Rhinolophus ferrumequinum: one gene and its partners. The protein of the gene in region 3 interacts with the protein of the main gene of each other region in a biochemical or structural test. Links are inferred from orthologs where the notes say so. Each region holds a gene or a part of one and is shown on either strand. Other genes may lie near its edges.

Region 1 (6,920 bases), on a different chromosome or scaffold from region 3:
CTAAAAGCCTTGTTTTAAGACAAAAGCAGTGAAATAAAAAACAATGGTTTTAAACCTATCACCAGTGTTAACTGCTCATGACCATAAGTTTGCGTTTCCAATGAAGGATTTTGAGATAAAAGGCCATATAATAAGGAAACAAGTGGAAGAAAATGAAATTGAACGAAATTCTCACACAAGACTAAAACATAAAACTGTAATTTTCATACATTTTTACATATCACAAAGGTAAAAAACTCAAAGATAAAGAAATCTAACACAACAAAATTGGAAATTAAACCATTCTATTTAAATAGGGCTGAAATTAATAAGCTTTTAATTTAAATCAGTGTAGGCTACAGGGAATCCTCTTTATATACTATCTACTCCAAACTGAGAGGATTCTCCACACTCCTTTCACATTTAAGCTAAAATATTACAATTTGAAAAGTTGTTTTTTTTCAAACTCCATTGGAATGAGATTATTCTAACTAGACTGTCAATTGCCCCAAACAATGATACTTTTTGGAAACTAAACTTCATTCCACTAGATTTAGCCAGTAAATTTTGCTAAATAATCCTTTGCTAGAAGTTATATAAATTCCATGTTGTGAAACTAATTTTTTCAGTATCTATAAATAAAAATTTATACTTGACAAAAGACATTCCTCAACTAATAACTTGTATATTTAGTGATTTTAAATATCTGCATCTGAAAGCATAGTGTATCGTGACCACAAAAGATGAGACATACAACTGGTAAGGGTACTGCTATTACACAATATTCTAAATAGTGCTTTTAGTAGGTATTCAGTGCCTATCACAGGCATAAATATTTAACATTCCCCTATCAATTCTTCACATTTTCTACTAAGTTGACCCAACTTCAAGCCTGAAACTGAGGCTTCTACCTTTAGAAGAGAAAAAAACAAAAGTAATTGGGTAGTCCTAAATATACACACCATAACTACATGACTTAAGATCCTCATTTAAAACTTTTGCCAAGATAGCCCCTCCCTTCAAAACAAACTACGATTGACTCACACTGCTCTATTTGACTTAACTTTGGAAATACAAAAATTAAATGCTTTCCTAAGAACTCATTTCCCTCGGTCTCTGCATACACCATTTAAAACATTCAACCTTCAATCTGATCCATCCCTTCCAAAATGGTAAAAAACAAAAACAACAACAACAAAAAAAACACAACACCTCAGTATCTCTAAATTATCTACCATGGAATAAAAAAAAAAATACACCATATTCAAGAATAATAACCACCGTTCTAAAGTCTTGGAAAACAATGGAAGCAATGTCTGTGGTCGCTGTCTGCGGAGCCGTCCTACTCGGTGAAACCATTTCACCTCAGATGATACTTTTAATCTGTGAGACCACCCCATTTTCTAGAGTTAACCACCTGAGCAAAGGGTTTCAATTTCGTCTCACTAAAGTGGAAAACTATCAATCACCCTACATAATAAGTTCCACCCTCTAGATATTTCTACATGTAGGAACAAAACAACAACAACAAAGCCAGTAAAGTTGGTGGCAGGGTGAGGACAAAGAGCATTTTGAAACACTACAGAAGTAAATAGAGAATGAGGACAGAAAGGGGGCTAAATTAAAGTTCCCTCAAATGAATAAAGGAAAGAAAACGCAGGTACCCTTGTTTACCACCCCTAAGCCCCCATTCTTCACTACCGCCCACTGGAATGCAAAGTTGGAACTACCACTCCGTCAGAAGCCCATCAAATCCTCAAGATGTCAGGTCACCAGGCAGCCTCTGGAATGACAGGCTAATACCCCTCCCCCCACACCCCCCAAAAAAGAAAGGTTCAATCCAATAAGTGCAGGTCACTCTGCCCTCTGGGGCAGTTCCAGCCGGCGCAGGGATGGTTCAGATGGGAGGACGAGAGGGGAAAGACAGACCACCTTTCTTCCCTTACACCTTCCGCTGAGGAAACAAAACAAAGACAGCCGCCCTCCTCCCCAGGTCGCCTCTACACTAGCCAGAGAGGCTTTCCTATTTCCCGGTGCAGTCTAGCCTCCCGCCCCCGCCCCCATGACAAAGAAAAGGCACTTGGTGAGCAAGGCCTTCCTGCCTCCACGAGTGGGGGAAGGGGCTGCCGAGGTGAGGAGCCCCCTCCGCTAACCCGCGCTCACACTCGCTCACCCTTGGCCCCGAAAAGAGCCAAAAGCGGCTGGGAACAGAGGCCTCCGCCGGGGAATCCTGGTCTAGGAGGGGATGGGGGTACCTTGAAGTAGCCGCCTTCATAGAGGGTGTTGGGGGGTCCGAAGATGGCAACCTCCCAGTTGTAGAGGTCGGACTCATCCACCAGGGTGATCCGGAAGCCCTCCACCGGTTCCTCCTGCAGGGATTTCAGCTCTAGCATCAGGGCCTTCTGTGAGCTGGTCATCTGCTGCTGGGCCATCGCGGCTGCGGCGGCGGCAGCGCCGGGCCGGGGCCCCAGTCCTCACGCACCGGCCGAGCCGGACCAAGCCCCTCCCCTCCGCTCGCGCTCGGGCCGGGCCGCACCGGGCCCTTGTCTTCACACACCCGGCGGGCCGGACCAGGCCCCAGACGGCCCGTGGGCCGACCCGGGTCCTCCTCACACACGACGCGGGCCGGGCCCTCCTCCTCACACTCCGGCCAGGTGGGGGGAGGGGTTCAGGGAGTTAAGAAAATTCGCTCCCGGTCCCGGGCCTCCCCCCCCCGGAGGGGGCCTCAACTTAGGGGGGGGGGAGAAGAGGTGGAAGCCCAGGAAGGCGGCGAAGGGCAGGCGACGGTGAGGGGAGGGGGGCAGGCCGGCCCGGGAGCGCCGCGCTCGCTCGCCCTCTCGTTCTCCTCAGGGGCCGCCGGAGCCGGAGGGTGCGCGGGGCCGAAGGGCGGGGGGAGCGCAGTGATCGGGGGTCTCGCGGCGGCAGCGGCGGCGGCGGCTGCGCGTGGGGAGGGGCGACAGCGGAGGAGGAGGAGAAGAGAGAGAGCGCCTCGCGCCGCGGGAGCGACGGAGCGGAGAAGAACGAGGGAGGGAGAGAAGGAGGAGGGGCGCACGCCGGGAGGGGGGAGGCTCTCGGCGGCTGGCGGCCCGACGCGCTTGCGCGCGCCCCTCCCTCCCCCGCCCTCCTCGCCCTCCTCCTCCTCCTCCTCCCACTTCCCCGCCTCCTCTCAGTGGCCCAGCGCGGTGGCGGCGCTTTGTGACGCCAGAGCTTGTACCCCGCCCTTAAAGGGCCGAGCAGCTGTAAGGGCGGAGGGTAGCCTCAAGGGATGCCCTTGGCCCCAAAGTGACGGTTGGATGCCCTGGTTCCTTAGGCGCGCCCGGGAAGGGACCTCTGGTCTTAGAGCCATCAGCGCCCTCCTACCGCATCCACAGGCCTCCTCAGCCATCCTCCCAGGAGCCCTGGTCCCCTGCAGGCCCCTCCCCGTGACACACAGTCCGCTGTCCCTACACTCTGCAGATGCTTGACAAGGATGTGCTGAGAATGTGGGCCTTATCGGTGGGAACAAGCGTCCTGACATCTCTTCTGCAGGTCCAGCCCTCACGCCAGTGTGTCTTTGGAGGGCAGTGTGTGGCACCCATTTGGGGGAGTGGGTGAGGCCAGTTTCCATTGAGAAATGCGGAAGGCAGATAGGCCAGCTTTCTACTTCCCTTCTTAACTACAAAGAGGAAGCTTGTGGGAAATAGAAAATAATAATACTGATTGAACCAAGGTTCCTGGCCCTTCTCTCTGTGATTTGAGGCAAGTGCTCTGGCTATCCCTCAGTTTACCCATTTGTAAAATGAAGTACTGTGGGTGAACTTTGACCCCCTACAGAGCCTTACAGCTTGAAGGTCCAACCTGGGATTGAGGGACTTTTAAGATAATCATGGCTGAAGTGAGATGTGGAGTCTTCAATCCCCGTGATTTAGATAGACTGCCCCTTTCTCTTAGGAAAGCATGTCCTGTGATAACTGTCTAAATGTTTTCTATTATAGAAAAGCCAACATACTGTGAAAGTTCCAGAATTGGGGGATCAGAAAGATCCTTTGTTCCAACCCTGGCTCCACCATTTACATTACCTCTTCCTTTTCCATCAGCTTCTGTAAAAGAGGGTTAATTATATGTAATATAAGCAATTGTAAAGATTAATTGAGATTATCTGTACACAAGGTTTAGCACAATGACTGGAACATGGTAAATGATCCATAAGTAGGAACTTTAAAGGAAGAAAAATAATTTAAAGGCATAGCTGTATTCTGGATGTGATCCCTCCCACTGTTTAATAGACTTTTTCACAACAGGTTTAGATTTCTAGAAAAATTGAGAAGATAGTACAGAGAGTTCCCATATTTTCCCATAGGCACCCAATTTCCCCTATTATTAACATCGTACAGTAATATAGTACATGTATTACAATTATGAATCAAAATTGTTATTAACTAAAGTCTTTACTCACATTTCCTTAGTTTTTACCTAATGTCCTTTTTCTGTTCCAGGATCTCATCCTGAACACCACATTATATTTAGTTTTCATGTTTTTCACTTTGACATTTTCTCAGACTTTCCTTGTTTTTGATTACCTTGACAGTTTTGAAGAGCACTAGTCAAGTATGCTGTAGAATGTCCCTCAATTAGGATATGTGTTGTTTTTCTCATAATTAAACCAGGATTATAGGGTTTTGGGGAGAAGATCACAGAGGTAAAAAAAAACAAAAAACATTTTCATCACATCATATCAAGGGCACATAATGCCAACATGCCATCAGTGTTGATATTGACCTCACTCACCTGACTGAGGTAGTGTATCAGGTTTCTCCATTGTAAAGTTACTCTTTTTACCTTCTTTCGATACTGTACACTTTAGAAGGAAATCTCTATGCACAAACCACACTGAAGGAGCCCTTTCATTTTTTTGTTCTTTTTTTCTCAGAAGTGAGGTTTCAGTATTTTAATGAATCATTCCCTAGCGCCCAACTCTATTCAGTAGGCCTTGAGGCCAAACTCCACTGGAATTAGAGCTCACTTCAGAGAAGGGGGACTGTTTTAGTAGTGCAGCCTCACCTCCCAAAATGATGGTATGTGACTGATTCTGACTTCCTCTCCACCAGTCAATTTAGGGACAAGAAGATTGCTGACCTGGAAACGTGGGAGATGATGTTGACACCTTTAATAACAAGACTGTAAATAGACAAATAGGCAGAAAGTTCATCTTCAAAGCATTTCACCCACATAAACTCATCACAGCCCCACCCTGACCCAGAAGTTGGTAGATCCTTAGCCTAACCCACTGGAACATAGACCTGGCACCCAGATCAGAAGCTGTGCCCTGGGCTCAAATCAACTCACAAACTCATACTAAATATCCACAGTGGGCATGGCCCTGAGCTGGGTGACTAATAAACATACACCTGTCTAGGAGGCTCACAGCCTAGTGTGTTACTAATGCATTGTGTACTTAAGGTCCTACATTCTTAGGTCAGAGGAACTAGAATTCCACAGAACTTGTCTCATGCCTTTTTATCCTAGCAGGTAAGACAGTGTTTATTAGTAGGTTGCGACTGTGTCTTATTCATCCCTGGATCCTGAGCAAACAGCACACGTCTGACATAAAGTAGACACTAAGTCATTGTTCTCATGGGCTTGCAACTAAGGACAGGAAGACAATCATTAACAAAACAAAACAAAACAAAAATCCCAAATTGGGCAGCCGGTTGGCTCAGGTGGTTAGAGCACAGTGCTCATAACACCCAGGTCGCCGATTCGATTCCCAGATGGGCCAGTGAGCTGCGAACTCCACAAATAGATTGAAAACAACGACTTGACTTGGAGCTGATGGGTCCTGGAAAAATACACTCTTCTCCAATATTCCCCAAGAAAAATTTTTTTAAAAACCCCAAACTGAACCCCACCTTCCACCTCCATGTTTTATAGGATCTCTCAGACACATAGTAGGTGCTCAAGATTATAAATTCCACAAGGATGACACGTTTTATTCATAACCATATACAAGCTACTACAATGTTTGGCAAACAGTGGGTACTCAAAACATGTTTGTTAGAAGAATGAATGGCAGAAACAGCTTCCTAGACCTTTCTCACATTGTTTCATAATGACAAGTAGAGATTGACTTTGCTGATTGGTGCCCTCTGGTGGTAAAGAAAACAGGATATTTACTCTAAGCACAGCATCACCTGATACTCTACAACCAGGGCTCTTTTGAAGAATCTATTACCTTTCTCGCAAAGAGAAAAAATAAAGGAAATCTTAGTAAGATAAATGAGAAGGACTGGTATTTGCTTTAGAAAGATTCTGACCTTATAGAATGACTCTGTTTAGGGGGCCAACATTTTTTTCATTCTGCATATGTTAACTAACACATGTAAATCTTGAATAGTGCACTTAAGGAGCACTAATCTTCCTTTAATAGCAACAGCTAACATTTGCTGTGTATCAATATGTGACAGGCTCTTTATATGCAGTATCCCACTTAATTCTCACAAAAATCTATAACATGGCTATTTACTGAGTATAATAAAGCTTAGAAAGGTTAAGAAAGTCACCCAATGTCACTCAGTGAGTAAATGGCAGAAACTCAGGTTGAACCTTGGTCATCCCACTTTAGTGTGACTGCTCTTAACCGCCAAGCTGTAATGTTCCTCATCTAACGTGCCCACAGCAATGTGTGCATATCATAACACCCCAGTGCTATACTACAATTATTTGTTTACATCTTTCTCCGAGCATCCAAGGTGCTCTTAAGAAAGAGACATTCATTCACTCAACAAATATTTATCGAGTGCCTGCTATATGACAGACCCTGTGCCAAATGCCAAGAATACAATAGTGAATGAAACAGAAATGACTGGGCCTTACCTCATAGAGCGTACATTCTAGTGGCTGAGACAAAAATAGACAAAAGCAAGTAATCAATAGACAAATAATATTGACAGTTTCACTGAATA
Region 2 (7,987 bases), on a different chromosome or scaffold from region 3:
ACTAGAAAGACATGGTCCCTGCCATCATGAAGCTTACTTTCAAGTGGGCAAGGTAAGTACAGAAGTAAAATATTTCAAAATATTGATAAACATTGTGGGGGGAGGAAAGTGAAGCAGGGTAATGAGACAAGGATTGATTGCGTGGGATGCAGACTACTTTAGACAGAGTGGTCAGTGAGAGTTCATTGAAGAAGTGTGATGAGGGGAGACTTGAATAATAAAAGGGAGCCAGCCATGAGAAGACCATGGAAAAGAGCACTCCAGCCAAAGAGCAACTGCAAAAAGACCCAGTTTCAGGAATAAAAATAGCCAGTGTGGATAAAGCACAGGAAGTGAGAAAATACAGCAGTACAAGATGAGGTCAAGAGTTATGAAAGGGCTTAGATTCTATTCTATTCGATGTGGTGACTTACCACATGGAGGGTGATCAACATTTTATACCTTCTAATATTTTAAGGGCAGGCACTCAATAAAGATTTGAGTAACATTACCATTTACTTGTTTGAAAATACCCACAAGTTACTTTTGCTCCCAATTATCTCCTTTTTACTGGATTACTTTTCATTCCTTCCACACTTCTTCAGCACAATTATCTGGCACAGGGAACTGCTCACCCCTTCAATGAAGGTAGGTTTGTCCTTTATGCCAAAGTTCCAGAGCATGATATCTCCCCCTTTGGAACCCACAGCCAGGGTGTTGGGGTGCGTTGGGTGCCATGCCAAGGATGTGGCCCTTCTGTCAAAGGGGGCAGCCTTATGGAATATCCGGTAAGAAGCCAGAGAGTGCACAAAGGACTGCTGGAGACACTGACACAGAAAGAAAAGAATTAAGTTGAATTAAAACCCAAGTCCTAAATAAACTGCCAAACTCTGCCTCCTCCATCGATGAGCCCTAGGGCCAAGTCCTCCCACCAAAGGAACACTCACTGCCTGGCTCTGTGCGTGAAAATATTTGCAGTTATGTATGAACTAATCTTGGAGAGTAAGAGGGCAGGTACGCTTCAGCTGGGACCTTTACAGCCTAAGACTTCTACCTGGCTGAGTGCCCAGTAGGCCAATCCCCAAGGGGGTGTGATCTGACCACTCTGACAAACCACTGAACCAACCTAGCATCTAATTTTGGAGCATCCAGTTGTAAAAAGGCACCCTTGAGCAAACCCTTGAGCAGTTCAGCCAGGAAATGCCTCACCTGCTGTAATGATGGCCAAGCAGCTTTGCCCAGCTTATGGTGATGGAGGGCCCTGACGACGCTCCTGCATGGTGGCGGGACCTGAAGGCTAGCCAACCCTGCCCAAAGGCAGCCTGAGTCAAATCTTCTGCTAGAACCTGCCAAGCAGAACACATATTTTCCTCTCCGATCTCACTCAGGAAAGGCTTTTCAGCCGAAATCCCAGAAAGAAAGCCTTGTTGTTTCCTTTGGCATAGTCAATCTCTCTCATCACCTCCCAAGCCTCTTCCATGGTCCGCTCAGTCTCACCCAGCACAAGAAATAGTGAGTAGGGATTCAGCCCCTCCCCCAAAATAGTAATTCTGAAGTGAAACTAAATATGATGGTGCAGAGGTCCTGAGAGCTGAGCCAAAGAAACACACAAGAATAAAGTATATGCAGAGCTCTTCCCAGTTTGGATTGGAAAACTTGTGCTAAGGTTGGGTGACAAAATTAAATCACATATAATGCACAATAAAAAGTTTAGGACAGCGTAGAAGTGACTGGGAAAAGAAGTATCTTTAAATCCTATATTAAAATAATATAGAGGTGACCAGTTGTTGGCCCCAAGTCTAATCTGTTCTCCTGAAAACCAACAGGATCCAGAGAGTCTGGCATGGCTCTAAATTAACTAAGCTACTTTTGGGGAGGCAGAGCCACTTAGATGAGGAATAAAACAACTCTGGATTACCAAGATGTATTTGAAGATCTGATCTCTATGAATCTGGCCTCTTGATAACCAATTCTTTCTTTTCGTGGACAAAAAAACACTTCAACCCCCTGCTCCAGTCTTTCTGAGTTCCCTCACACTCCTTATAGCCCTAGGTTCTAGCTTCAATAAACCTGAGAATGTGTTTTCTAAGGAAGGGAGGAAATTGAAGGCTCTCACAGCTGAAACGAAGGACATACAACTAATAACCGTGACTATTTAAATTCAGTACTCACACCACCAGGCAAGGTGGGATTATTTTAAGTAGTCCTCAGTGTGTCAAAATCCAGATACAAACAAGGAATTTGAAAAGTCCGCTGTGGCTGATGTAATGGAGCTCATCTGCCTCTGTCACCTGAAAGAGGGTAAGCCCAAGCTCTTTGGTGTCAAAAGCCCTGCAGACAATCTGCACAGCTCGAGGCATCTGAAATTTGCAACAGCCTCAGGAACCTAGACGCACCAATCCCCCACTCCAGCCTCCTGCGTGAGAACCCCAAATGACAGAATTATGAAAGCAGCAGGCGCAGGCAGTACCGGGGCCCTTCACACAGAGCTTCTTGGCCTCGGGCTCCTGCTCCCTGGGGCTTCTGTTCCTCTTGCTCTTGGGGCACACAACCACCTCGGGGGTCTTCCGGGTTTCTGGGCGTTTCCTGGGAGCCATCGCGTCCTCCTTGCGAAGGGGTTCTATACCCTATGCAGAGATTATGGAGGGAAGATTGAGAAGCCTCTGGAGAGAAAAAAGGCGAGGACCAGGGAACTGGTCCAACTTCCCGCCAAACATGCCAACTTCCCGCCAAACAGGCTCAAGGCTTCCAAATTGGCGTCTAGTTCCGGCCCCGCCCCTGCCGAAGAGGCCCCGCCTCTCCCGGGAAGGCGGGGGCGCGCGCGGATACCTGGGAAGTGTGTGAGGGGTGGGGCTCATAGGCTCCCTAGAGAAATGGGATAGCACCTACGTGTTGGTCCTGAGCTAGTCGAAAGTCCGCTGACCTGCCAGGAATAAAGATGGCAGCCAGTGCCAGGCCACCCCACTTGAAGCCTCTTCAGACGCGGCGCTGCCAGCTTCAGAGGGTCCACAGCCGGCCAGGTACGTATTAAGGCTTCAGCTCCGCCCTCTCTGTCTTTTAATTGGTGATCATGCCCGCTTGGGCTTCGGGATTGGCTGATCCGTACAGTTAGTGGGAGGTGGCTTTGTAGAAAGCTGGCCACTTCCCAGCGGTGGAAACGGACCTCTTTCCGCCTACAAACTTTGCAATCAGTATAGAGTATTTAATCTCTCCGGTTTAGTAGAATCTCAGCTTCTCTGTGGAGAGTGGTTGAAACTCGCAGCTATTAACTAAGGTTTCCCCAAACCTGCTGCATGTCCGCCTAGGGCGCAGCCTAGGGCAATGAGGGGCTGGAGGGCGTGCCGGGCCAACCCGGCTTAGAGGCCTTGTGCCCGACTTCTGCCAAACGCCAAGGCAGTGACTCACAGGTGAGGCTGCGCTGGCATGCCTGGCCCGACAGGGATGCACCCCACTTTCTGCGACGAGCCAGGCGGAAGCTGGGGTTAGTTGGGAACTGCTGGGCCTTTTCTTCCACGCGCGAAACCCGGTGCCAGGCACCTCGGTAGGGTAAGAGGAAACAAAAATGCATTAACAGTAAAGCCTGCGCTCAAGGACAGGTAAAGATGAAAGACATTTCAAAATATAACTCTTGGAAAAAAAGGAATGCCCCGGAAGCAAAATTCGAAAATGCGTTTTTGATGGGAAGATCAGCTCAGAGTGTTACAAAAGACAGCCACGCAGGGGGCAGGCTGGTGGCTTCTCCCCTGCTGTCTGGTAACTGTGTTTTCAGAGCTGTGTTACAAAAGCAAGCTGGCTCCCTTTTACTCAGACCAGCCATTAGTTTCACCTCAGCAGGGTGCTCATTTCTGGAGGGATACAGCCTACTGAGAAGAGAAGAAAAATAATGTGAAACAAGTCACACAATTCCAGATAGAACACAGTTGACTACTAAATTGTGGCATGCCAACCAAGACTTTTAGATTCATTCAGAAAAGATCATCGAATGGAGCACGTATTTAGGAAAGCCTCACGGGGAAACTGGGATTTCCTGGAGTTGGCTGGGGGAGGGAGAAGAGCCTCCTAGGCAGAGAAACAGCTTGATACAAGTTAGGAATGGGTGTGGGTTATAAGAGAAAAGCAGCCCCTGGCATCTGGGAGCTGGCCTGGTGTTCTGTCAAAATCAATTTCACCAAACAACACCAGACAAGGCCACTCTGTGACCGTAGGGTTTCCTGGCGGGAATTCCCGCCTGTTCTCGTGATTTTTTTTCGTTTTCCCATTCCTGAATCCCAAGAAAAGTTGGTCAGAAAATCGGGAAAACCGGCTCCTTGAACCCAGGTCATTGGTAGTATCGGCCATCACTTTGTGGAAACGATTTATCATGGAGAACAGAAAACAGTTTATATCTCAGGATTCGGGAATGGGAAAGCAAAAAAAATTCCTGAGAACGGGCGGGAAGTCCTGCCCGGAAACCCTAGCCATGATAGGTCAACGCAAAAACATGATCAGTCATATCTGAACACAGGCAAAAGTATGAACATTGTCCAAATCACAAAAATGACCAAGCCACCCCCTATTATTTTGGCTAAAATGAATGACTGCGGCTTCTTTGTCAACCACAGCTTTGGCTTTGCTTCATTCCTCCCACCTTTTAGCTAGCATTTATCAATACCCAATCATAGAATTACGCTCATTTCCTACCAGCCTGCAATCCAGAGCAAAGCCCCACTTCTTTGAACCCTTATCCAAATCATTCGGCAGAAGCCAGTCCTATAAGTTCTTTCTAACACCTTCTTCCAGAGATGTCCCACCATTCCCCATGGTATGTATCCTCTGTTGCAATGAGCACTAAACCCAAAGTTCAACTGTGGACAGGAGTGTCCCTGATGGTATTTGGCTTGGAGGCATTGACATTTATGAGTCTGGTAGGAGACAGCTTAAAGATGAGAAAACTGATTACACAGGGGATCAGTTTTGCAAAGTAAGAGAGGCCAAATAAAGGGCGAAGTTGAATGGCAGGCAAAAGAATTCAAATTTCATTTATTCTACTGACATTTCTCAAAAACCTGCTCTGTTCCAGGAACTATTCCAGTCAAAGAGAATCATGAAATGAAAAATGTCCTTTGGCCACATGGAGTGTGCCTTTTAATAGACAAGTAAACCTACAGCTACCGTAGAGTCTGATAAGCTTAGTGAGAGGAAGCATTGGGTCTGGTGGGGTGGGGGACAGAAACAGGACTCTTTAACTGAGCTTGAAGTGGAATAAAGAAGGGGTAGTGTCAAGGAAGTCTTCCCAGATTCAGACACTTAAACTGAATCTTGAGAGATTGGGGTAGGGAAGAGAGGGAGAGGAATGCAGGCAGAGGGGGTAAGAAATGGAAGAGCAGCGGCGATAGTTAGCCATGATGGATTAATGAGCAACGGGAACGTCCTGCTTAATGCCAGGTTTCCCCAGAATCTGTTTTTAGGATTGAGGAGTTTTCCATGGTGGATTAAACACGCTACATGTGACCAGTGGAAACTTGCCTCACACAGGCCAGTAAAGCGCTTTGTTTCAGGTTGTGCTTTGAAGCATTCTTTCCCTGGGTTTTGCTTTGTTTCACTGCAACATGTCTGCCTAGGGGCTTGATGTTTGTCCATTCCCATTTGGTGATCCATCAGCTGCAGGGTGGACAAAAGCATTTAATACACATTTTTTTGATTCTGCTAATCTAATAACGAGGTGAATGGGGCAAAACTGCTTTGGTCTCTTGTCATGGAAAGACCATGCCATGAAACCCGGTTTATAGGTGTTTTGGTCCTATCTGTGACACTACCTGAGTAGTGTCAAGGCATAAGGCATCACAAGGCAATTCGTTCAAAAGTTGCTGGTGATGGCAAATCAAGGTCTCGTGTTCACACTGGAAGCTGGGCAGACCATGGGCATGACCCTAACTAATGCCAGTTTCTTTGATCTGCAAAACAATAAGTGGCTTAGATGTTTTCTGGAACAAATCATATAGCACAGTGGAAAGAGCATTGTTCTTTCTTAGACTATGTGACCTTGGATTCATGATTTCACTTTTCTATGCCTAAGTCTCTTCATAAAATCAAGGGGAGGGATTGGGTGTTCTCAGATCTCTTCTGGCTTTAAAATCGATGAGCCAGTGACTTGCTGTTAAAGGGGTAGAAACCGGTGACTGCTTTGAACTCGGACGTTTCTGTGGGAAATTTCCATCTAGTAGGAATCACTTTCCTGGTGCAGGCTGATACATGACTCGGATTCTGATCAAGCTGTTTATGGATCCAAACACTCTGCTGAGTCTGCAAAACCATCTTTAATCCACGCGGATGGTGTGTGCAGGCTTCTCCCACACAGTTACTGCATCCAGTGGTTTGCAAATGACAGCCTCAAGGATTCTGCAGAGTTTGCAGGGAACTGAAATGTAAATTCCTCCTAAAGGATTGGAAACAGACGGAATACAGCATCCAGAGTCCTTGTTGCTTGGCATCTCCAACGCATACTTAAATGCCCAAATGTGAATACATTCATAATAATGTTAGTGGAGGCATGGCTCCCACCCTCTGGGAATAGCATTCATTTTCAAAAATACAATTTTGAGTAGCTTTGGAAGTGTCAGACAGCTGTGCAAATACCAAAAAACCCACCTTCTGTCTTTACTGTGGGGGATGAAGCACCATTCCCACACTAAACCAACATCCTGTCATGAAATACTGTTGTAGGTACAGGATGCCAGGAAACTTTTCTCGGCAGCCAGGTTTTCAGCGCAATTGCCGGTGTGCTGAAATAATATATGTGAAAGTACTTTGCAAACTGTGAAGTGTTCTACAAATAGAAGTTGTATGATTTCCAGGTGATATGCTTTTTACTGGGAAGGTCTGATAAAGGTGGTGAGGAAGCTCTTTGCTGTTCGCAGGAGTTCTCACCAGTCTGATAGCCATCATGGAAAGAGGGGACACCAGAGAATCAGAAACCAGGGGTTTGAGTTGTCAGTGCCTTTACTCAGTCTTTCGATGCCAACCAAGACTGCAAAAATCCCAAGTGGCAGAAATAAAAATGGTTCTTTCTCTCTGTGTAACAGCTAAGCCAGTTTCCTATGAGTGGGTGAGTCACATGCTAGTGGGACCGGGAGAACTACATTTGCATTCCTTTACATTTTCCTCTTCCCACTGCCCTGCTTTGGCTCCTGTCCCTACTATGACATGTTCACTCCAGGAGCACGTGACATAAAACTTGCCCAAGGAACCCCAGCTAAGTTTGTCCCTATAGAGGAAGGCAGGAAGCTGCCTGGGTAACTGTGCTTCTTCTTGGGGAAGCCAATAGCTTGGCAGGGGAGGTACCTTGGTACAGCGCTACACGCCTCCTGCCCCACACGCTGTACTCTGAGTGGGCACCCTCCACTCTGCGTGGGCACCCTCCCAGACACGTTGACTGTACACTACTCTCTGTGCTTGACTATCCCATGTCATAAGGCCCCAGAATCTGAGAGTTTTGTCATAATTATAGGCAGTCTAGAAGACCAGGCCACATTTGTGTTGGCAGCACTTAGGCCCCTAATTCATTCTGCAAAGAGACATATTTGTGAAATGGGATGAAGAGAAACTCTGAAAGGCAGCCTGCTTTTTAAGTTCAAGAAGCTTTTTTTAAAACTAGATTTCCAAGGCTAACAGCTGTGGCCTCCTCTAGCCCAGTGTGGTGGGGTGAATGGTGGTCTCTGAAAAGGTATATCCACCTCCTAATCCCCAGAAACTATGAATGTTATTTAATTTAGGAAAAAAAGGATCTTTGCAGATGTGGTTAAGAGTTTTAAGATGAGCTCATCCTGGATTATCTGAGTAGGCTCTAAATCCGGTGGTGAGTGTCCTTATAAGATTGAGCAGAGGGAGATGAGACGGCACAGAGAAGATGATGTGAAGACAGAGGCAGAGATCAGAGTGATATGATGAAACTAAAGGGATGCCAAAGATTGCTAGACTGCCGGTAACCCTTAGAACCTACAAGAAGGGCAAGTAAAGACTCTTCCCTCAG
Region 3 (6,929 bases):
TTAGACCAAGATAGGGGGACAAGAGGTGGAGAATATTCCAGGCAGAAGGAACAGGAATAAAAAAGAGCATGGACACTTCAAGAATGGAGAGCCAGAGCAACTAACTACTAGACTGAGCAGGAGAGTGGCTCACGATGATGCTGGAGAGGTAGATGAGTGATTTAAAACTAAGTGCCTACAATTTTAATTCTAGAAAGTTGACATTTCTTTGCCCCACTTCTGATCTCAATAGAAAACCATTTTAATACCTGGATGAAAAAGTAATCTCAACTTTTTCTAATGTGGTCAACCTTCTTGCCCCTATTGCTATATGGATACTAAGTCTGTCAATAGCTATCAAGTTCACCATGTGTTGACCACCACGTGTGACGGAGTATGTGGAGATTTAAATGAAATTTTAGTGCAATTAATTGCCTATTTAGATGTTGGCAGTGATGTCCTTTTACACATCGGGCTAACATGCAAAATCCTTATTTCTTAGGCTTTTCTTTATAAATCTTGCTGAGCACAAACTAACTCGGATAGAATATTTTAGCTCAAAGTTTACCATTTTTGCCTTTGAGTTTGGGTCCGAGATGGGAAATACAAAGGAATGATCCACAATGCCTCTGGGTCCACAATTCACTGTAAATGTGACTATGCCATCTTTAGATTGAGTAGATATATTCTGAGAGATGGGTATGCCTCCAGTACATCATAAAAACTAATCTGTTTCAAACATACCAATGGACTAGATGCAGAAGACCTCAAGTGCTCTGACTGTGCTTTGTATTTCATTGTGAAGAATAAATAACATTGGTGACCATCAGAAAAGCCACAATCTCTGTAACCTTCTCAATTATCCCTCCCCCCCCCCATTTACTTACAAAGATCCATAATGTGGTTCCTGCAGATGGCACAATTATCAACCACAATGTCCCAGGCCCACAGGGCTACTGCATTCCACTGCAAAAAGAAAAAGGGGCACGATGCAGTCATACACATACGCATACACACACTCTAGGATTTCATGCTGCAGTGGCAAGTTAGCATCTCTTTGGCCACAGGGACCACCAAACAAGAGTCTTTGGATATTACTTTCTTCTTATTTATTGCATTAGATGGCAATAGTAAGCTATACATATGCTCACCCATTTCCCAAACAGCTGAGTACATGAACACAGAAATTAATGTGTCATCTTCTAATTTTACTTTTTCCTACAGCTTAAAATGATCTGGTCAGCTATATCAATGTAAGCAAATCAGGAATAATTTGTAAGTGCTCATTTCAGGTTTAATGAGTAGAGTCAAATTATTGTGCAGGTTCCCTGGCAGTTGCAGGAGAGCTCAATTTCTGCATAAATAAATATCTGCTCTTCAACGCAAGCATGAGTGGGGAGGTGAACCCTAGGAACAGAATGAACTAAGATGATGATTGGATCATAAAATGGGTAATCGTGGGATAAGCTGGATAAAATAATTACCCAGTGTCAGTACACAGAACAAGGTCATCACTTAAGTCTTACAAGATTACTTCCTAACAAATTCTAGAATTCACTAGAATTTTGTTTAGCTCCTACCATCAAATAAACTGATGGGCTCAACTTTTCATGTGAAGACTCTTATATATAGTTAATTCCAGTAGGAGTTTATCTAAAAGTGGCATTTAAGTAATTCAACCTTCTGGCTTCTGCAATTATAAATATTCACAAACTTCCTTTTCATCCACTAATTTGATGCCACTTCCCAAACTGTCATCTCTTTCAATCCAATTTTCAGTGTCTTAGTAACTTCTTCAGCACTTTTTACCAGACAGCTTCAACTTGGAGGAAAAAAATCCTACTTCTATTATTATTCAATATGGCTGCTGATTGTAACTGAACACGCAGTGCCCACAATGAAACACCAAAAATCAACTAGGAGGGGGAATATTGCCAGTGTTTAGCCAGATGTTCTAGGAATAACATCGCCCCTATTTCAGAATCTTCATTTTGAACAGATTTATTTTATCTTAAGTGGAAATCGACACCTTTCCTCCTGTTAGGAAACCACGATAAGGCATTTCATGCAAAAAGACACGTTCCACATTTTTCGCTATCCCACTTTTAGCAGGTCGTTCGCAACTAGTACTTAACCCTCACTCAATGAAACAAGATTTGGGCTCGCATTTTCTTTATAACAAATTCCAACATGGTGTTTTGGTTTGTTTTTTTTTTTTGGAGGGGGATTCTGGATATGACCACATGACTGGGGCGGCTTGTGTGACAATCAACAGATCTCTCAAAAGAGCCAAGAGTTACACTCAAAACAAGACACTAACTCGGCCGGGCTCGGGACACAGAGGGGGTTAATGATAATGGACGCCTCGACTAGGCTAGGACCGGGTCTGGGTCCCTCACAGAGAGAGACCCCGAGGTTCGTAGAGGGGCGGGGCAGGGAGATCACCAGCCTATCTCCTCAGAGGCCTCCAATGCGGTAGGACCTCAGGTTCCCGGCTTTCGCCGCACTGCCCCATCCTCCACCCACCGCATCGCTCCGACTCCCCGCCTTCTACCCACCCCACCCTCTCCTTCCCCACCCCTCCACCACTCCAGTGACAGCTCAGGCGCTTGGCTCCCGCAGCCAAGTCGCAACCCCGCGTATCTCAATAAGCACATCCGTGATTGGCCCTTCAGCCTCTTAGCGAAACCAATAGCGCCACTGACAGTGGACCGCAGGCATGCCGATCAACCCTAAGACCCGCCCTCCGGCTTCCTTTCGTGGTACCCGGTCCCAGGAACGCCCTGAAATGAAGCCCTTTCCTCCGCGCCTCGGTCATCCACGGGCCTGCCAGCCAGATCCGCGCCTCTCTAGCTTCCCTGAGGAAGGCGCTGGCGAGACCCAACCTTTTTCACTTCAAAGCGCTTCTTGCCCGCGCCGCTGTTGGTGCCGGTCGGGGTATCCACATCCATCGCTGCCGCCATTTTGGAAACACACGGTCCGTCGTCCGGCCACTGCGCCTGCGCACCAGCGCACGCCTCGCTCCCCCTCCCGCCCCGGCACCTCCTCCCGCCCCCCATCCCTTACTGGCGCGCGAGGAGCAGGTGGGGGCGGAGCATGAGGCCACGCCTCTTAAAGGCGCTGGCGCAGGTCACCCTCCCTCTTGCGTCGGCGGGGGAGGAGGCGGCGGTCGGAGCAGCTGGGGCGGGGCCGGGCGGGGCAGGGTAGACGTGAGCGAGCCGGGTGGAAACGTTCGAAAGGACTCGCTCTCGTCGCCCTCCCCTGGGAAGCCCCCGGCCACACTCCCTCAGCTTGGGCGGCGGCTGCTTCCTCCGCCGCGGCTGCGACCTGCCGCCCCGGCCCCGCCCCGCCTCTCCGGCCGCCGCGCTGCTGGCATGCCGGCGGCTTTTCCACTGCGTTCAGTCTGGGAAGAGGCTAGGGTGGACGCCCCCCTTCCTGCTGCGGAAACCCGAGTCCGCACACTGGCGGTTCGCAAATCCTCACCCGCTAACGATACAGGCTCGCGATACAGCTTCCCTGGGAGGCCTGAGGCTGGGGAGATCAGGGGCCCAGGGCACCGTTTGGTTTTCTGAGTCCAGTTCAGGAAATGATCAGGATTCGACCGGGAGACAGGAGCTCCCCGAATGTTCTCCCCAGGGCCAAACTGTGCAGGCATTCCCCAGCCCTGCCTTCAGCTGCCCACCTGAAATAGGTGGAAGAAGGAGGCTTGGGAGCCTGGGAGGTGCCATTTCCAGCCCGCCCGAAATACCAGTCCGTCCCAGAATGGTATTTGGTTAAGGTACACGATTTCAACTTCACGCAGTTCAGCACACATTTCCCATTCCCAATTGGTCATCTAACTGTGGGGTCCTTCCTCCCTAATTTTGGTCCTTTTCCCCGCTCCTAGCACTGTGCTTGGATCTGTGGTCGCAGTACTTCTTGAATTTGTTGTATGAGGCATTCAGCTATTTATTCTTCCCGGTCATTCTTTCCCAGCCAAAGCACCTGTATTTTGTTACCTTCGCATTTCTAGACCGGACATCTGATCTAGATAATCCCTTTTGCTTCTCTCCTCTTGCAGAAATATAATTTAGGTCACTCTTAACTCTTACATTGGCTTATTTGAAATCTCATATTTTCTCTTAAAAGAAAATTGGAGCGCAATGGAGTGTTGACTCCGTTGCTAAACGGGACTAATTGCGATTTGTTTCCCTGCTGTAGTCATAAACAGGAATATCAAATCCGTGAAAACATTACAGCTTTAACCAGACTTAGAGAAAAATTGAGACCTTAAAAGCATTATAGGAACCCTACAAAGTTTTTCTTAGCTCAAGTTTTGTTAAATTAATTCCATGTTAAGATTTTTGTCACCTATTTATTGTGTCCTAAAGGCCCCTATAGGAATACTAGAAAACCATAGTAAGTTATTGAGGACATATTTATGCTTCATTCAACAAATTCATTGAGTATGTACCAGGTCCTGTTATAAACAGGAGAGATTCAGTGATAAAAGGAGTCAAATTCCTACTAGGGAAATAATACACAAGTCAATGAATAAATATATCAGAAAATCTCTGGTATCGAGCGCTGTGAAGAAGACAAAACAAGGTTATGAGATTGATGGGAGTCGGAAGCAACATTAAATTGGGGGGTTAGGCCTCTATGAGGAGTGACATTTAAGCTTAAGTCCTTACTATGGCTTAAAAGGCCTTGCATGATTTGCTACCCATTCATTTTACGATGCTTTAAAAAAAAATGCTACATGTACTTTCTATCATAGTTTTTTCATTTTTTGGGTTTATTTTTGTATGTCCTTACTAATAGAGGGGATTTTGATTGTTTTGTTTATTGATAACAAAAACTGGAACAGTGCCTGGTACATTGTAGGTGCTCAGTATGTCTTGAATGAATAATTTTGAAGCTTTTAGAGCAAGAAGAGTGTGGTAAGAGATGTTGGACAAGCAGGCAGGGCCAGATTAGATACGGATTTTATTGCAGATGTTATGGAAAGATATTGGAGGAGTAAATTATGGGAGGGGACTAACTGACAATCTTAAAGATTGTAAAAGTTTTAAAGCTTTGTGAAAAAGGGATTGTAAGGATAAAAGAGAGGAAGCAGCAACAATTTCCAAGTTGTCTGATTTGTATATAGCTATGATGGGAAGATGTATGATCTTAGGGGTGGTTCCATTAAGCTCTGAAAACCTCATCTGCTATCTCTTTTGGAGATTTGCCTTGCTGTGGCAATTGGCATAACATTCTGTATACTACATTCTGCTGCATAAGCCTACGAAAACTTTTTGTAGGTTTCATACAGATTCTTATTCTTCATAATTTCACTCAGTTTACAATGCAATAGGTTATGATTTTACTTTAGTATTATTCCTTTCAGCCATCTGTCCATTCAACAAATATTTCTAAAATATCTGCAGAACCTGCTGTGTGTCAATTACACCATGATCGTCTATATAAAAAGTAATCTGATATTTTAAGTTTTTGCAAAAGGCCCCATTTCATCATTCAACTTATGGTGTGGTAGTAGAGAGGTGAGTCAATTAATGATAATTCCAGTGAGTTTTAGGAAAGGGAAGTATACGGTACTGTGAAATAGAAAGCAAATCTAAGGGTTAGGAGGTAGTCCTCTTAGAGGAAATGGTTTGAGATTGAAGGATGAGCCAGACAAAGGGGTGGAAGCAGTGGTATGCTGGTAAATGTTTTAAAATCAGCTAAAAAAAACCCAAACCTTGATTTGTATCTTAAGCAGCCAGATTTCAAAGTTCCTGAAAGTTTAACAATTGCTCTTGTAAGCTGATGTAAGTTGGCTCAGCACTCACACAAACAGATATGGGAGAAGGTGGCATTCCAGGTAGAGCCAACAGTAGAAGGGGCTGGAAGCTGGAGTATGTACTCGTATAGAGCACTGGTAAAGAAGCTTGGAATGGATGGAATATAAAGAGAAACAGTGAAATGAGTCTGCAATAATATTCAAGAGTCAATAGTTAGCATCTCTTCCATATTCCGCAACATCATGTTGGTAGCTTAAAATTGGCCATAATAGTAGTATTTATACCATGGAAATCAGCAAACACTACAAATCAGGGTTCCTCCTACCACACAGAATTGGTTGTTAAACATTTACCACTGGTAGGGGCCAGGTCATGCAAGGCTGTTCAAAAGATCCATGCAAAGAGTTTTGGTTTTAGTGATAGGAAGCCATTGAAGGGTTTTACCAAGCGAGTCGCATGGTCAGATATGCCCTTTAAAAAGGGTTAGACAGGACTTCCACTTCTGGGAAGATGGAGTAGACATACTTTTCTCTATCTTCCCTCTAAGTACAACTGAAATCCCTGGACATATTTAAAATAAAATAAAATTTAACAATAACAAATAAGAAGACTTTGAGATGGAGAGAAGGCAGACCAGTTAGGGAGCTCAGGATTTGAGGAATGATGTGGTAGTGAGTTTCCTGGGTTTTCTTATTGTCTCATACATCCCCCCCAGACTTGGAGATGAAGAAGCTAGAATCCCCAAAATGCTAATAAGTGCAAACAAAAAAGCCCTAACAAAAGGCTGCTTTTTCAAGCAAACAGAAAACTTTTAGAAAATATCTGCTCTACTCTATCCAAACAACACAGAAAAATTGTGGCCCCACTCCCACCCATGCCAGCAAAGCTGAGTGGGGATCCTAGTCTATACAGCTCACAAATCTGTAACCAGGTGCCCTAACACCTATGCCAGGGTGGTAGAAGCCAATTAGGGAGTTGGAACTTTTATCCTTTCTGGCTGATAAGCCCCCCTACCCCTGTGGTAAGAGGGAACATAAGGGGGTCAAGGCTTTCACTCCCACCCAGCAGTAACAAGACACCCCTGCCCATCCTTGCTGGGGTGGTGTTAGAAGAAACCTAGTGGAGAGTTAGGACTTTCACCATCGCCCATCAATCATGAGGCCACCTCCACTGCAGTGTCAGTAG
Region 4 (7,692 bases), on a different chromosome or scaffold from region 3:
CAGAAATAAATCCATGCCAAATGGTCATTTAATCTACAACAATGGAAGCAAAAATCTATGGTGGGGTAAAGACAGTCTATTCAATAAATGGTGCTGGGAAACCTGGACAGACACATGCAAATATGAAGCTGGAGTACCTCGTTATACCATATACAAGAATATATTCAAAATGGATTAGAGACTTAAATGTGAGATCTGAAGCCATAAAATTCCTAGAAGAAAACATAGGAAGAAACTTCACAGACATTATCCGGAGTAAGATTTTTACTGATATATCCCCTCGGGCAAGGGACATAAGAGAAAAAATAAACATGTGGGATTATATTAAACTAAAAAGTTTTTCACAGCAAAGGAAATCATCAATAAAACAAAAAGGGATCCTACTGATTGGGAGAAGATATTTGCCAATGATAATATCCATAAGGGGTTAATATCCCAAATTTATAAAAAAAAAAAAACTCACTCAATTCAACTCCAAAAAAACAAATAAGCCAATTAAAATATAGGCAGAGGACATGAAGAGAGTTTTTTCTAAAAAGGACATACAGACGGCAGATGTATGAAAAAATGCTCAATCTCACTAATCATTAGAGAAATGCAAATAAAAACCACAATGATATACCACCTCACCCCAGTCAAAATGGCTATCATTAATAAATCAACAAACAACAAGTGCTGGCGAGAATGTGGAGAAAAGGGAACCCTCGTGCACTGTTGGTGGGATTGCAGATTGGTGCAGCCACTATGGAAAATAGTACGGAGGAATCTCAAATATCTGAAAATGGAACTACCTTATGACCCAGTAATTCAACTCCTAGGTATGTATATGGAGAAATCCAAAACTCTAATTCAAAAAAATGTATGCACCCCTATGTTTACTGCAGCACTATACACAATAGCCAAGACATGGAAACCGAAATACCCATCGGTAGACGACTGGATTAAGAAAATGTGGTACATTTATACAATGGAGTATTACGCAGCCATAAAGAAGAAAGAAATCTTACCATTTGCAACAGTATGGATGGATCTAGAGAACATTATGCTAAGTGAAATAAGTCAGACAGAGAAAGACAAATACCATATGATCTCACGTATATGTGGAATCTGAAGAAAAGAATAAATGAATGAACTAATCAGAAACAGTCTCAGAGACATAGAGGAAAAACTGAAGTTTGCTAGATGGGAGGGGGTGTAGGGATAAGGGGGAAGGTCAGGGGATTAGAAAGCACAATAGGTAACCACAAGATTGCCACGGGGATATGAAAGTCAATTTGGGGAATGTAATCAATAATGTTGTAAAGATTTTGTAGGGTATCCAATGGACACTTGTCCCATTAGGGAGACCACCTCAGGGAAGATGTAGATGCCTGATCACTGCACTGTACACCTGAAGCTGAAGCTGAACAATAATGAATATCAACTACAATTTTATATATATAATAAATATATATATATATATGTGTGTATATATATATATATATTTACAAGAATTGGAGTACAGCCTTAGGAATAGAGACAGTGGAAATGCCATGGCTGTGTGTGATGTCAGAGGGATAGTGGATCGGGGGAGGGGGGTTATCACTGTGTGAGGGATATAAATGATAAATGTCTATTACATTGTTTTGTGCACCTGAAACTACTAAAAACAAAATGTCTCCTGTGTTTACCAACATTAAGTACCTGTAGTACGTGTACTACTTCTGCCCAGAAGAAAGTAGATCTTTTTTGTTGAAGAAATCTGGTTTTTCATCTCGTACATTTACCCAGTCTGGTGCAAATAGTCTCATCCTGTTTCCTTTAATATGTTTCTCTGTCCTTTGTGCTCCTTATAAACGGGTAGTTGTGTCAAAAGTAGATTTTATTATTCCAGTGAACTGTTGTAGAAAGCCATGTTCATTTCCCAAAGGCCTTTGCAGTGATTTCGAAAATTCGAGTGCTCACATGCTACTGAATCTCCAATTACTGGAAATTAATGACTTCTCATTATGAATAATGCATACACTTGGGAGGAGGGCTTTACCAAAAATGCATTGTTTCAGTTTTGAATGCAATCTTGCCTTACTTACCTACTGGGTACATGAAGGCAACTAAACTCAAAAGCAACCCTCCCCCACAAGGTGCAGGTTAATATGTTTAGTGAAATGTTTAGTGCAGGTTACTGAAATAAGATGTTTATTTTATGCTTAATATTCCACTACATGGCTGTATCATAATTACTTAAACCATTCTCTTATTGGTGGATGTTCCCCACTTTTGCTATTTTATAAACAACAATGTATTTGCCCTTATACATTTAGCCTTACATTCTGGTGCTTTAATTTCTGGGGGAGAGATTACCTGAAGCAGGTTTGCTGGGCCAAAGAGTATAAATATTCTTAATTTTAACAGATATTAATTGCATGCATTTTTAAGTTAGGGCTATAACGTAGAATGGTGTTCTAAAACTGCAATCACCTAACTGCAAGTCCATCATCACACTAACTTCATTTCCAATGCTAAAAATATTTAAGCTCTGCTTTAAGTAGAGAACTGGGTTTTTAGGCAATCTCCCATTAACAGTGCTTTTGGTGTTGAAAATCCTGAGGTTTATTCTGTTTCTTGTAGCAATATTTCCAGTTTGGTTAACCTCCCTGTACTAGACATAAGATGCATTGTATTTATTTTTTCATTAGTTTCAGGTGTACAAAGTGACATAGTGATTAGACATTTATATACCTCACAAAGTAATAACCTCCATATGTCTATGTCCCATCTGACAGTGTTCAGTTTTTACAATATCATTGACTATATTCCCCATACTGTACTGTACATCCCTGTGACTCTTGTCACTACCAATTTGTATTTCTTAACTGCCTGGTCGTCACTGTCTCTGAATCCTGAGTGTCATTTCTATCTGTCCTTCATTGGTGCCTTTTGGCAAGAAGAGACTGGTTCTCTGCATTCTTTAAAAGAAGTATCTTTCCGTCTTGCCCATTTTGTACCTCTAATTTTGTCCCTTTATTTGCTGGTCTTCAAAAGTAACAAATGCTTGTTATATCCAGTGAAACAACACAATAGGAGGATGTATAAAGAGAAAGTTAATCACCCACACCTCGACCTCCTGATGTAATCAATAGTAACAGCTTGCTGAGGAGCCTTCCACAACTCTTTGCTCATACAAACAGATCAAATATATGTGCACACATAGAAAACTCTGTTCATTTTCAGCAAAGTATAATCATACTATACACATTATTCCGCAACTTGTGTCACTTAACTATATACATATACATATGCACATACATACACATATATCTACATATGTGAAAATAGACAATATATATTATTTAACAAAATACAGTGAATATACTCTGCAGTCTTAAGTTCCTTTCCAGTTCTAAAATTCATTTTTGTATTTCTTTAAAGGACATAACACTATTGTAATTATTTGTAATGAATTGTTTAATGCCTTTCTTCTCTGCTAGACTGACAGCTCCATGAAGGCAGGGGACTAATTTTGTTCACCACTGTAACTCCAGAATTTAGGAGTGCTGTCAGGATAGTAATTGCCTAAAATCGATTTGTTCATTGTCTCAGTGCTTCTTGAAACCTTCAGTCTACTTAAACTAGGTCATTGCCAATAGTCAAATATACGTGTCTTTAGGAGCTCAGGTATGGAGTAAGTCACCACTCAGTGTTATTTGGATGGAAGCTAGTTAACAGTACGTTTTAAATATTTGTAAGAATTTGTACTGTTTTAGCAAAACCCGTCTGTCACAAAAATGAATTTAAAATGGAAGATGGCATGTTTAGTGCAATTTAGGAGACCTAGGTTCTAGTCCTACCTCTGCCATTAATTTCTCTGTGGCCTTTAGAAAGTGCTTTATCCTTTCTGGTCCTGGTTCCTCATCTGTAGCTCTAGCATTCATTAATTTCAAAAACGTGTACTGTCTACTACAGGCTAGCAGCAGGCTAAGTGCTAGTGATACAGGGGTAAAAAATAATAGCCAAAATTCAATGAATGCTTACTTTATGTTTGGTCTTTTGTTGGAGTCATATGCACTATCTCATTTAACCTCCTATGAGATAGCACTACCGTGATATTTTCTGTACTTTACAAAGGAGGGAACTGAAGCATAATGAGGTGAAGCCACTTTTCTAGCATACCAAAGGGAACGGTGAAGATGGATTGGATTCCAGACAGTGGAGCTTCAGATGTCCTTCCAATGACCACAGTGAATCCTTGCCTTCATAATTCGATGTCTATTTCAGTCGCTTCCATTTTGGCCCAAGTCGCTTTCATTTTGGCCCAAGGAGTAACGGAAGAGTACATTTGAGAAACCATTGAAAGGTGTGCCACAAGAGCTGCAACCAGCAATGCTCTTCCTTGCTCTCGCAGCTTTCACGCCCGGAAAATGAAGAGGTGGGAGGTATCAGCAGGTCCTACGCCTGCACACTTCTCTAGGCGTCCCATTGGTACAGGCGAGCGTGCGGATCAAGCCAGCAGGACGCGCCTCTCTGACCTCAGCAGAGGGCGGGGAGAAAGGACGCGCTGCGTGCGCGGTGCGTGGGCGCTGTGCGCGCGCTTGGTCCTTCCGACGTCTGCGCTGGCCGATGTCTCCGCCTGGCCGAGGGCTCGTTTGCCCCGCCCCGCTGCCAGCGCTGTCGCGGCGTCCACTTCCTGGCCCTACCCACCTCTAGCGAAACCAACGAGGTTACACCGCCTGCATCTAGAGCAGCCCGACCAGGAGCGTACCCGAGGGGCGCGCGCGAACGTGAGAGGAAAGCCGTGCGCGGGTGTGTTTTCCCGCCCCTGAACCGTTCTAGACGCTGGTGAGTGCTGGGGGCATCGGCCTGCATCTGGAGCGGCCCCCGAAGCGGCCCAACCCCGCCCTTCTTTGGGGGATGGCCTGGGCCCTGGCCCACTCCCAGCATGCTCTATGCGGGGTACCCGGGCAGGTGCAGTGGGAGTAGTGCGGGCGGTAGACCGAGAGCCGCCTTCTTGAAGGCCCTCTTTGGCCCCGCAATGGGATCTTGAAGTGACCATGTCCTCCCTCCTGGTTTCCGTTTCGTCCTCCCTTTTCTATACTCCACCCCAACCATCTTCACCTTCTAAAACGATGCATCTCAGAAAACACTGATATTGTCTGCTTTATTTGTGCCTGTGTGCAGTTTAAGTTTCCCCCTCTTCTGCACCAAATATGCTATCATGTGCATCTCCCGTGTTACATTTTTTGCCACCCTGATTTAAAAAAACGATCTCTTTGTAATAATTGGTGCAAATAAGCCATAAGTAGTGACCCCATCGAGAAGAATTCTGACATACATATGCATTATTAAGCTAAGAGACACGTATGAATTATCATATATTAGCCAGAAATGAAAATAGCATAATATGAAGTGCGAAAATTCTATCTAAATCAATTTTAGAGTGCATCTGACAATTCTAATATTAAGCAGAGCTTGTGTCCTGTCAATTCTCTTTTCCTTCTTAGAGCTGTGTTTATTGACCAAGTTCTGTGAGTGGCACAGGAAAACCATCCTGCCTCTTTCCCCACCCCCACACCCACACTCAGGAATTACATCTGCCAAGCTATTCCACACCTTGTCCTTCTAGTACAAGTCCAAGTCCATTTCCTGTAGAAGAATATCACGGGATGGTTTCCTCGTAGCAGTGTAGTGATGTCGTGTCCAAAGTGTCAGCTATGGTTAAAAATCCCACAGGTTTTTGTTTGTTTTTTTGATTTGTAGGAAAACAAGGTTATTCAGTAACTTATTTATTAAATTCTCGGTAATATCAGTAAATTCTCAAATGGCTCAGGGGCAGTAGAAGCACTGTTGAGATCATTATTCTGTAATAGAAAAGGCATTAAATTGATGTCAGGAGATCTGATTTCTAGTTCAGTTCTACCACTAACTAACTCTGTGACTTTGGGTCAGTTACTTAAACTCTCTGGACCCTCTCCCTAGCTGTAAAATGAGAGAAATTACATTAGGTAGCTTCTAAGACCCTTTTCAACTTTAAGAGACAAAGGGAGAATCTCAGTAGCTAAGTACACCATTCCTTGTGGAGATAGAGGGGAGATTGTGAAAATCTCGACAGTTCTATTTAATGTTGGGTTTTCTTTTAATTTATAATTTAAGTAAAAGTGTAAACTTTTCTCCTTTTACTTCCCCAAAGAATAAGAAAATGCCTTGGAGGAAGTAAAACTGTTCATTAATGGTTCCCCAGAATGGTGCCCCAAATTATCATTCAAATAATTTAACTATTTTCATTGTGGGCTTTGATTACATGAGTTAGTTGGGATACTGTATTGGAAACCATTTAGTCTTAGGAACAATAGGGTAAATATTAACATACACTGTGTCAATTTCAAGAAACTTGCTTTACATGTACTCAAAACACCTAAGGACAACAATCATCAGTTAAATAAAGCACTAGGTTGAGAACAAAAATGCCAGCACAGATACCATTGATTTGCCAATTGTGGGTGGTTTTATCTGTTCAATTTAAGATTTTGATGTAAAAGTCTGTATCTGAAGAGGTATTTAAATAATATAATGCAAGCTTCTGATACGAAATTCCTTTAAACAGAATGATGGAAGAATAATCTATGTAACATTGGCTACTCGAGTTAATGCTTTTAGTACTTGGTTAATTAAATCCCCATAGATGAAATACAAAAATAGCCTCCCAGAAAATTCTGCAGAGAGGTGTTGCTGCAAAGTTCCAGTTTATACTGAACAGTATAAATTGGAAGCTAATTATTATTAGACCCTTTGGTACTTACATGCAACTAACTTGATTTCAAATTTGGGAACCTTTATTTAATGTTAAGACCAAAATGTAAGTATACATATGGAATACCAAATCAAATCACTAGGTTAATCCTTTTCTTTTAAGTATCCTAAGGATTTTTTTCTTCTTTATAGGAAAAATGCTTTCTGAAAGCAGTTCATTTTTGAAGGGTGTGATGCTGGGAAGCATTTTCTGTGCCTTGATCACTATGCTAGGACACATTAGAATTGGTTATGGAAATAGAATGTACCACCATGAGCATCATCACCTACAAGCTCCTAAGAAAGAAGATATCTTGAAAATTTCAGAGGATGAACGCATGGAGCTCAGTAAGAGCTTTCGGGTATACTGTATCATCCTTGTAAAACCCAAAGATGTGAGTCTTTGGGCTGCAGTGAAGGAGACTTGGACCAAACACTGTGACAAAGCGGAGTTCTTCAGTTCTGAAAATGTTAAAGTGTTTGAGTCAATTAACATGGAAACAAATGACATGTGGTTAATAATGAGAAAAGCTTACAAATACACCTTTGATAAATATAGAGACCAGTACAACTGGTTCTTCCTTGCACGCCCCTCCACGTTTGCTATTATTGAAAACTTAAAGTATTTTTTGTTAAAAAAGGATCCATCACAACCTTTCTATCTGGGCCACACTATAAAATCTGGAGACTTTGAATATGTGAGTGTAGAAGGAGGAATTGTCTTAAGTATAGAATCAATGAAAAGACTTAACAGCCTTCTCAGTGTCCCTGAAAAGTGTCCTGAACAGGGAGGGATGATTTGGAAGATATCTGAAGATAAGCAGCTAGCAGTCTGCCTGAAATATGCTGGAGTGTTTGCAGAAAATGCAGAAGATTCTGAAGGAAAAAATGTATTTAATACCAAATCTGTTGGGCTTTTTATTAAAGAGG

The links.
Region 1: the proteins of RBX1 (region 3) and UBE2R2 form a complex in vitro, tested with the Homo sapiens proteins (10 studies listed by BioGRID). The link is inferred for Rhinolophus ferrumequinum from reciprocal best matches to the Homo sapiens genes RBX1 and UBE2R2.
Region 2: the proteins of RBX1 (region 3) and DDB2 form a complex in vitro, tested with the Homo sapiens proteins (2 studies listed by BioGRID, with this or other methods). The link is inferred for Rhinolophus ferrumequinum from reciprocal best matches to the Homo sapiens genes RBX1 and DDB2.
Region 4: the proteins of RBX1 (region 3) and CUL4B form a complex in vitro, tested with the Homo sapiens proteins (4 studies listed by BioGRID, with this or other methods). The link is inferred for Rhinolophus ferrumequinum from reciprocal best matches to the Homo sapiens genes RBX1 and CUL4B.

What each region holds. Positions count from the first base shown.
Region 1 is NC_046295.1:50,521,848-50,528,767, reverse strand, and holds the start of UBE2R2 (ubiquitin-conjugating enzyme E2 R2), read right to left. Parts: upstream 3,003-6,920; 5' UTR 2,412-3,002; coding exon 2,235-2,411; intron 1-2,234. UniProt on the Homo sapiens protein: E2 ubiquitin-conjugating enzyme that accepts ubiquitin from an E1 ubiquitin-activating protein, and catalyzes its covalent attachment to other proteins by an E3 ubiquitin-protein ligase complex.
Region 2 is NC_046294.1:13,949,961-13,957,947, forward strand, and holds the start of DDB2 (DNA damage-binding protein 2), read right to left. Parts: upstream 3,010-7,987; 5' UTR 2,903-3,009; exon of another isoform or gene 2,869-2,902; intron 2,607-2,868; 5' UTR 2,577-2,606; coding exon 2,450-2,576; intron 1,326-2,449; coding exon 1,189-1,325; intron 807-1,188; coding exon 615-806; intron 1-614.
Region 3 is NC_046293.1:6,875,393-6,882,321, forward strand, and holds the start of RBX1 (E3 ubiquitin-protein ligase RBX1), read right to left. Parts: upstream 3,023-6,929; 5' UTR 2,943-3,022; coding exon 2,865-2,942; intron 946-2,864; coding exon 867-945; intron 1-866. UniProt on the Homo sapiens protein: E3 ubiquitin ligase component of multiple cullin-RING-based E3 ubiquitin-protein ligase (CRLs) complexes which mediate the ubiquitination and subsequent proteasomal degradation of target proteins, including proteins involved in cell cycle progression, signal transduction, transcription and transcription-coupled nucleotide excision repair.
Region 4 is NC_046284.1:36,157,294-36,164,985, forward strand, and holds the start of CUL4B (cullin-4B), read left to right. Parts: upstream 1-4,683; 5' UTR 4,684-4,815; intron 4,816-6,915; exon of another isoform or gene 6,916-6,920; coding exon of another isoform or gene 6,921-7,692. Other genes in the region: C1GALT1C1 (C1GALT1-specific chaperone 1), read left to right, coding at 6,921-7,692.